Mus musculus: one gene and its partner. The protein of the gene in region 2 interacts with the protein of the main gene of each other region in a biochemical or structural test. Links are inferred from orthologs where the notes say so. Each region holds a gene or a part of one and is shown on either strand. Other genes may lie near its edges. The genes, in order: Mpp1 and Abcc4.

Evidence for each region.
Region 1: the proteins of Abcc4 (region 2) and Mpp1 form a complex in vitro, tested with the Homo sapiens proteins (2 studies listed by BioGRID and IntAct, with this or other methods). The link is inferred for Mus musculus from reciprocal best matches to the Homo sapiens genes ABCC4 and MPP1.

What each region holds. Positions count from the first base shown.
Region 1 is NC_000086.7:75,128,097-75,132,410, forward strand, and holds the start of Mpp1 (55 kDa erythrocyte membrane protein), read right to left. Parts: upstream 2,921-4,314; 5' UTR 2,731-2,920; coding exon 2,629-2,730; intron 1-2,628. UniProt on the Homo sapiens protein: Essential regulator of neutrophil polarity. Regulates neutrophil polarization by regulating AKT1 phosphorylation through a mechanism that is independent of PIK3CG activity.
Region 2 is NC_000080.6:118,594,499-118,598,313, reverse strand, and holds part of Abcc4 (multidrug resistance-associated protein 4), read left to right. Parts: intron 1-679; coding exon 680-820; intron 821-1,137; coding exon 1,138-1,175; intron 1,176-1,539; coding exon 1,540-1,634; intron 1,635-3,405; coding exon 3,406-3,552; intron 3,553-3,815. UniProt on the Homo sapiens protein: ATP-dependent transporter of the ATP-binding cassette (ABC) family that actively extrudes physiological compounds and xenobiotics from cells.

The DNA of each region.
Region 1 (4,314 bases), on a different chromosome or scaffold from region 2:
TAAAGCACATCAGCCAAAGACCTTTAACCATGTGGCCTTTGGATTGAGAGATGTATTTAGTGCCTGGCAAATAAAGCTCTAGTTAATATATGATTTTAAGACAATACCTGCCAGAAAAATTCTGATTCTTGAGCCCTCCTGTCTCTCCAGTTCTTATCATTTATAGTTAAATAGTTCTAATCTCTATACTTCCCTGGGGAATTGTTGGTTTTCTCATGACTTTTCTAACTTTTTTGTTGTACTTTTTCCCACTCACAAAGTGAAACAGATGTGCATGTGAAGAGTGGGTACTTGTGATTCAGTCAGGGGCTACACAAGGCTGGCAGGTGATAGTAAGGAACTCCCAGCTCTTCTGTATTTAGAGTCATTCATTTCCTTGGACTAGGCATTCTAAGTTCACCATGTGGAAGCAGTTGGCAATGAGCCTAACAGTAGGCTGAACAAATGTTTGTTCATTCCTGTGCTCAGTAGTTCACTGTCATTTTGTTCTGAAGCCAATTGGTTTAAATGAGAAAGTCAACTATAGTTGCCCCTGCTCTATTCACCCCCACTACCCCTGCCCCCACCCCTGCCAATTTTTTCAATCTATTTTTTTATTTCAACTTCCTTTGAGAAACTGTCTCTGCCCTTTGAACTGTGCTGCAGATGTTTCCTCTGAAGGAGGTGTAGGGGGTGAAGCACTGTGGAGTGGCCAGCATTGCTGAAGCCTGCACTTTGTAGAATCTAGGAGTTAAAGGGCAAACAGGACAGCCTGTGCAGAGACACCAAGGTTCAATGCCATGTACAATAGCAGAAAACAAGTCTTGGTTGAATCAGTAGGGAGCATGGTCAGTGAGTCTGCTCCTGATTATCATTCTACCAGAGAAAAAGACTCCTTCTTAGGTTTGGCTGTATCATTTGAAGAGGATATTTCCATTCAAGGTCTGTGTTTTCAGAGAATTTAAACTAAAAAAACAAAAAGTACTATTTTCAAATTATTTAGTCTTTGCCCCAGTTTTCTCAGTACCTAGTATAGTCTGTTAGTCTTCTTCATATTCTGTCCTTCACTTCTAGGATATCTATGATTTTATTTTTCAAAACCAGAAAGACCTAGATACCTTACAGATAGGAATTTGGTTTTATTGTGGCCACAGTGGCTTAAGTAGATTAGAATTTTTATCACATTAAGTTTTGTTCTTTGCACTTTATTTGCTCACCTTAAATAAGACACTGAACTAGAACATCAGGAATAGATGTTTCCTTCAGCAGTCATGACACTTTGGAGGGAGGTCTGATAATTTCTTGCTGTAAAAAATAAATCCATCTAGTTGTGACACTAAAAATGTCCTGAAGTCTGACATGTTAGCCCATATAGTGCCTATAAACTCAGGAGGCTGAGGCAGGAGAATTGCAAGGAATTCAAGGCCAGTTGGGGCAACTGAGTAAGCTACAAGGTAACCTGAGCTAGTGTGAGACAGCGTCTCAAAGCAAGAAACAAACAGATAAACAAAAAAAGCAAAATGTCCTCCTACTTGCCAGCAAGAGAGATAAAATTTGCTGACATTTAATTGGTGCACAGTTTCTTCCCCTAAGCAGTGAGTTGCTCTGTCAGTGTTACTAAAAGAGGACTTTGGGTGTGGAGCATAGAAAGGCAAGATTAAATAACCATACTTCCAAAACTAGCTTGGGGAGGGGAAATGACACCAGAGATAGGGAAAAGGAAACAGAGCTCCAGAATTGAGGAACCAGAATACAACTGTCATAATATGGATTTTTTTCTCGTATTAATTCTTCACTTTTTCTTTTTTTCCCTTTATCAAAAAAAAAAAAGTGATCAAAACACATAATAGCTACCATTCCTGTAAAGGTTTTTGGATTTATTTCCTCAGTTTCATCTAGTATCATCTTTGAACATTTTGTGTAAGTAATGTATGTTGTTTAATAGCTGTACCTTCCTATCACAAAGCCATCTTCGCTGTATCACAAGCAGCATCATAAATCTCCCAGGAGAAGGGACTGGGGAGCAGAGGGAGCAGGGTCCGTAGGTGAATGGGGAGGGGGAGACATGTTACATAGAATCTAATCACAACCACCTCTGGAGGCCTGACATATTAGATTAATAACTATTTACTGTCTAACACTGGAATATGAATGCTACCTTAGTTTACAGCATAGCACAAGGAGACCCCCTGAAATGAAATGCAGAGGGAAATGTGTGAGCTTTTTAGAGCACGAAGTTGGTTTTCACAACCATGTCTGTGAAACAACACAAACGCTCAATAACAGCCAGGCAGATCTACTATTGGATGTGTTCCTTAAAGTCTTATTTTCCTTCTTCAAGTCTGTTAGTAGACTTCCATCCATGAGCAAGTTTTCTTTGACCTTAAGTATTCATTTAGTCCTGGCCTGCCTCTCGGGATTTTCACCTAGGAGGGCTGCTCCAGGCAACTATCCACCACACCCAGATCTCAGCAGGAATCGGGCCCAGTGCTAAGGCCTCCACCCTGGGGGCAAGACACCCAAGATCTGGCCATCCGGGGACAGAGCGCTTGGGAACAAGGCCATGGATAGGAAAAATCCAGCAGCAGATGGAAAGGCCTGGATCCTAGACCCAACCCGAACCCAGAGGACCCCAGGGGTCCCGCTAACCTCAGGTCGGTTACGCTTCTGTAGTAAGTGCTCCAGGTAGAGGTCCGAAAGTGCGGTGCGCATGCTGTTCCCTCCCTCGCCTTCGCTCGACTTGAGCGTCATCTCTCAGGAGCAGAGACAACCAGACGCAGTAGCCGCAGAGCTTTGAGCCCAGGAATCGCAAATCGGGGAACTGCGGCCTGTTCAGAGACGAGCTAGACTAAGGCGGCGGAGGAGGCAGGGATCAAGAGCTGCGCTGAGAGCCAGGAGGGCCAAGCAGAGCAGTACCCACGCTCCGCCTACTCTCCACCCTGGCCCGCCCCTAAGCCCACCCACGCCTTGGCCTTCCTTGTGCTTAGCGATTGGAGAAGGCGCAGTTTAGCGTTGCTTGAAAGCTCCGCTCTAACCACGCCTCTGCGGGCCCTGTCGAGATGCGCAGCCAGCATCCCTGAAAAGATAAAATTCCGAGACAGGAGCTTCCATTCTCTCTCTTACTCGCACGACCTGTGAACTACCGAAGCGGATCCCAAAATGTCCAACTACTGCAACTGCAGCTCTTTTACCAACCACGAGTTGCAACTAGCTGAGTGAACTTTACATCCAGATTGCTCCTGACATCAGGAATCAACCAGCTACCCTGAAGAATGTAGGGGCTCTTAAATTGGTCCCAAGGCCAATGCACCTTTCCAGGTTTAGACTTGTAAAAGTGTGCTGCTGGTACCATCATTTACATTGGTATATGCTATTCAGCGAGGAAAGATGGGACTGCCCTCAAGAGCAAACTGGTTTTATTTACCTTAGGCCAGATCTCCTGTTGTTAATGCCACACAATTTCTAGGAATCAACAGAAGCAAATGGAACAAATAATCTTCAAGAATTGGAGTAAACGCCCTAAACTTCCAAATGGTCTGGAGACTAATGAAAGACTTTCTAAACAAAATGAATGTTTACTGGGTTTAAAGGCTCCTTGGGAATCCTGTCCTAAAATTCAGAGCTTGTATGATTGATAGCTTACACTCTCCCCCGTCCCTAGAAGAATTACTTTTAGGTGGAGAGAGAGGAGAAGAAAAGAGAAGAGAAGAGAAAAGGGGAGGAGAGAAGGGCAAAGGAGGAGATCTTGGTACAGAGGAAGAGAATACACTGAGCAATGTTACAGAATAATCAACTATGTAACACCTCTGTGCCCATATACAAAGGTACTCAATAATAAAAACAGCTAGGTGAGTAAATAAGGCCTTTCATTAACTGACAGTGGAACTGGAAAGGATGAAATTGGAACCTTGGTTTATGTGATACACAATGAAGATGAACCTCAGTTGGCGGACTGCTTAGCTAGCATGCAAAATCCCTGGGTTCAACTCTCAGTAATGCACACACTATTCATGATAGTGCGTGCCTATAATCTTAGCATTTTGGAGGTGGAGTTAATAGGATCAGAAGTTCAAAGTCATTCTCAGTCACTCAGTAAGTTTGAGGGCAACCTAGAATACATAAGACCTTGTCTCAAAACAAAACTAATAATAAGTAAATAAGAAAAAGAACTTTAAAAAATCAGAATATTTTATTCCACTTAAATATATGGATGTTGGAGAGTATATATTTTTAAGGAAAATGTAATTATATATTTTTATAACATGACACATAATCAAGTCTTTTTATTCTTTTTATCATATATATTATTGTATTTATTCACTTTGTATCCTGCTC
Region 2 (3,815 bases):
AAGAAGGAAGGGAGAAAGGAAGGAAGGAAGGCAGGCAGGCTGGCCATCCCATCTCTTGGCATTGACATGGCATGGGTTTGGGTCTAGGACCCCCAAGGATAGCAAGGTTTGAGGGAGTTCAAGTTTATATAAATGCATCATGTGTGCAGATAACCTGGGTACTTCTGTATATTTCACGGCCTCCCTAGATTACTTATAATTTGCAATACAACATAAATACTGTATCGACACTTGATACATGGAATTACTGGGGAATAGAGGCCAAGAAAAGTGTCCATGCATGTTCGGTACAGACAACTATTTCCCCCTCCGAATCCTTTTCAGTTTGTGAGAGCAGAACCCATACATGCTGTGTCTGACTACACTTGCAGCTGTCTTCGCTGCCCACATCCCCAGTCTCCACACCTTGGATGATCCCGGCATAAATGGATGTGTTATCCTCCCTCTCTTGTAGATGTTTCCACTCGGCTGCTCCGCTTGGCTAGCAGTTTGAGCCATTCGGTCATTCTTGGTGTCTTCGGTGTTGCCTTTGAGCTTACAGCCTTTTGTGGGTTAAGTGTGCGCCCTACCGCCGATCTGTTCTCCCACGCTGGCCTGCTTTCCTGCTGCATTGCCTGCAGTCACCATTCGGAGGCTTTTGTGCTTCCCTTTCGCTTACAGCCCCTCTTACCTTCCGCAGGCAGAGAACACGCAGGCAGTGCAACCCGAGGAGAGCCGTTCGGAAGGGAGAATCGGCTTCAAGGCCTACAAGAATTACTTCTCGGCGGGCGCATCCTGGTTCTTCATCATTTTCCTTGTGCTGCTTAACATGGTGGGCCAGGTACATCATGACACCTGTGCCCTCTCAGGATATTCACACATGGGTTTACAGTGGGGTGTGCTGTGTGGCAGGGAGCAGCCAGAGTGTTGCTAACCGCAGTCGAGAATTGTATAGAAGAAAAAAAGTGGGGTTACCTTGTAAGAGCTTAGAGGTAACACCTTGTCTGGGAAGTTGGCCTTGGCACAGCCTGAGCCAGCTGACCATCCTAATGAACGCTCTGGGACCCTCCTCTCCGTCCCACGTCTTCAGCCATTTTGAGTTTCGAGTTTGGAAGTCACGCAAGTCTTGCCAACGCTGTGTCTCGCTTCCCTCCGCAGGTTTTCTATGTTCTTCAGGACTGGTGGCTTTCCCACTGGTAAGTTCTTCTGGTCAGAATTAAAGGCTCTACGATCTATAGGTAGTAGCTTCATTTTCCCATAGGTTTTAGGAAGAGGTGGGATCTGTTAGGCCTTCTATTCTAACCTTCGTCCCTTGAAGAGGAAAAGTGACGGCTTGCTGGTGGGGTGTGACCCACACCACTCTTTATCCATATCTGGTCACCACCTGCACCTTGAGAACTGAACGTCAGGGGTCAAAGTTTGAAGGGCAGCCGCAGAAAGCGTTGTGTGAGCTGAGAATTGCTTTCTGGCACAAGGCCTTTCTCCTAAGCTTAGGTTCCTTTTGTTTTTACCTAAATCCATACCTTAGTAATTTTTTTCCCTCCCATGTTCCACCCATAGGGCGAACAAGCAAGGTGCACTGAACAACACCAGAAATGCGAATGGAAATATAACGGAGACCCTAGACCTCAGCTGGTACTTAGGAATTTACGCAGGTAACGTTTAGCCATTTGATCTGTTATCTGAGGGCCTGAGGTGCTTACGATGGGCCTGTGTGAGTAACCAGAGCTCCTAGGAGTAATTCAGTAATGTCTTAGCAGATTAGGAGACTCCGTCGCATTTACTCTGTGAATTAATTAGAATAATTTTTTTTTTTAAATCTACCCGGAGAAAGAGGTTGAATGAAGACTCTTAATTTGCTCTGTACTGGATTTTGAAAGTTAAACTAGGATTGAGCGTTCAGAAAACCAACCACTGGAAATATGTGACTATTGTCTATTCTAATAGGTCGCTTTAGCTAAATCTTATATCATTATATGAATGGGCAGGGGGATTAGAAACGGATCCCCACCCTGTGGCTTGGATTGTTCCAATTCTGACTGAATAAGCCCAGGCCTTTATTGAACTTGGATGGAATCCTCTGGCAGCAAGGCCCCCCAAATAAAATCATTATCCCCTCACAGGTATGCAAAGCTCCCTACAGCACACTGCTCATCTCTCGGGCTTCACTAATTACCGAAGAGGGAAGCTAAGCAGGGAGAGGCCCAGTGTGCAGGAATTAAAACTCCTTCTCTTTCCTACCTTGAGACCAACAATGTTATCACGTCTCCGACTGTGTGATTCATTTAACATTTGGTTTGCCCGACTAATATTAACACCCCACTCTGTTTTCACAAGAGTGCTTGGAAAAAGTATAGAGTTAGTTTTCAAAAGAAAATCCTCATCTAAAATTTCAAGTGTTCCCACGGGAGACAGGCTTTCCTTGGCTTGCACGAATTACCGCTGTTAGAAGCCATTCACCCAGGTTTAGAACTTACTTTGTTGACGTCTCCCTAAGAAACCTAAATCCACTGACTGGTTACCGTCCCTACCGGCAGACTGTGCGAACCCTAAAGGGAAATAGATCCATTATCTATTCAAGTAGCCTGGGCGGCCAAGGAAAACGCAGCTGTATGGAGTTTTAGAATTAAGTAGCTCCAGGGGTTAATGCTGCTTCATTAGAAGGCAACATGTTTACCACATCAGCTCTTCCCGGTCTTTGTAGCAGTGTGAGCTACAAGCTAATGGAAACTAGGGAAGCAGAGTTAGGGGGTAGCTCAGGATAGAATGCTTGCCTCCTGTGTGTAGCATGACACAGCACACCATGCCTCTCCACTTCCTATCCGTGCAGAATGGTTCAAGAATGCCTTAATGCAACACAGAGTTTGAACACTGCTCATTTAAACTGTGATATGTTTCCATGAGACATGCATTGAGTGACTAGTTTACTATTTAGTTATCTTATGTTAAAACATGATTTGTATGTTCTCACAATTCAACCGTTTCAAAGTTTTCCTGTGTGTAAGCCAATGTGATATTTTCAAATTCTTTAAAGCCACTCAGGGGGTTTACTACAAGGAGGGTTTACCGGTCTGACCCTCTTCCCGGGGAGCACCACATGATGGTATCAGAACCCACCACAGTGCTAGATTGGGGGACTTGTAAATACCAGCTGGGATATGCAGGCAGAAATCTTTCCTCTGAGTGCTTAGTAGGACATGCAATTTGTTTTTAAAGCCTGTAGTTTATACTTTATCTGCACATAGGTATTTTCTATTCAGTAAGAAAAAAAACCACTTAGTTTTTGTCAGTGTGTCTCATAAATGTGCATCGTCTTTATGTAGAACCTAGATGTTTATGGGGAAGATCAGAGATATTTTTATAAACTGTCGGGTTGTAGAAGGAAGTGTGTCATTTCCTCAGGATCCTGGCTTTCCTTTATTTCAGGTCTAACTGCGGTCACCGTCCTTTTTGGCATAGCGAGATCCCTACTGGTGTTCTATATCCTTGTGAACGCTTCCCAGACTTTGCACAACAGGATGTTTGAGTCCATACTGAAGGCTCCCGTGTTGTTCTTCGACAGAAATCCAATCGGTAAGTCAGCCGCCGAGCTCCCCAGTAAATGTGTCTTGTTAAGGCGTGTACTCACGCAACGAGGGTCTGATGGCATTCTGGTCTTTGAGAAAGGAGGAAGTCCCTCTGCGTGTCTGCCCATTCTCTACAGTAAGCTTCCCCAATACTTCTCTCCTCCAATAGCAAATCTACATATCAGCTGCATGGACTTATCTCGGTGTGTGTGTGTGGGGGGGGGCACAGCACACGGGCACTCAGTTTGCACAGTGAGTTGTGAATCCAGT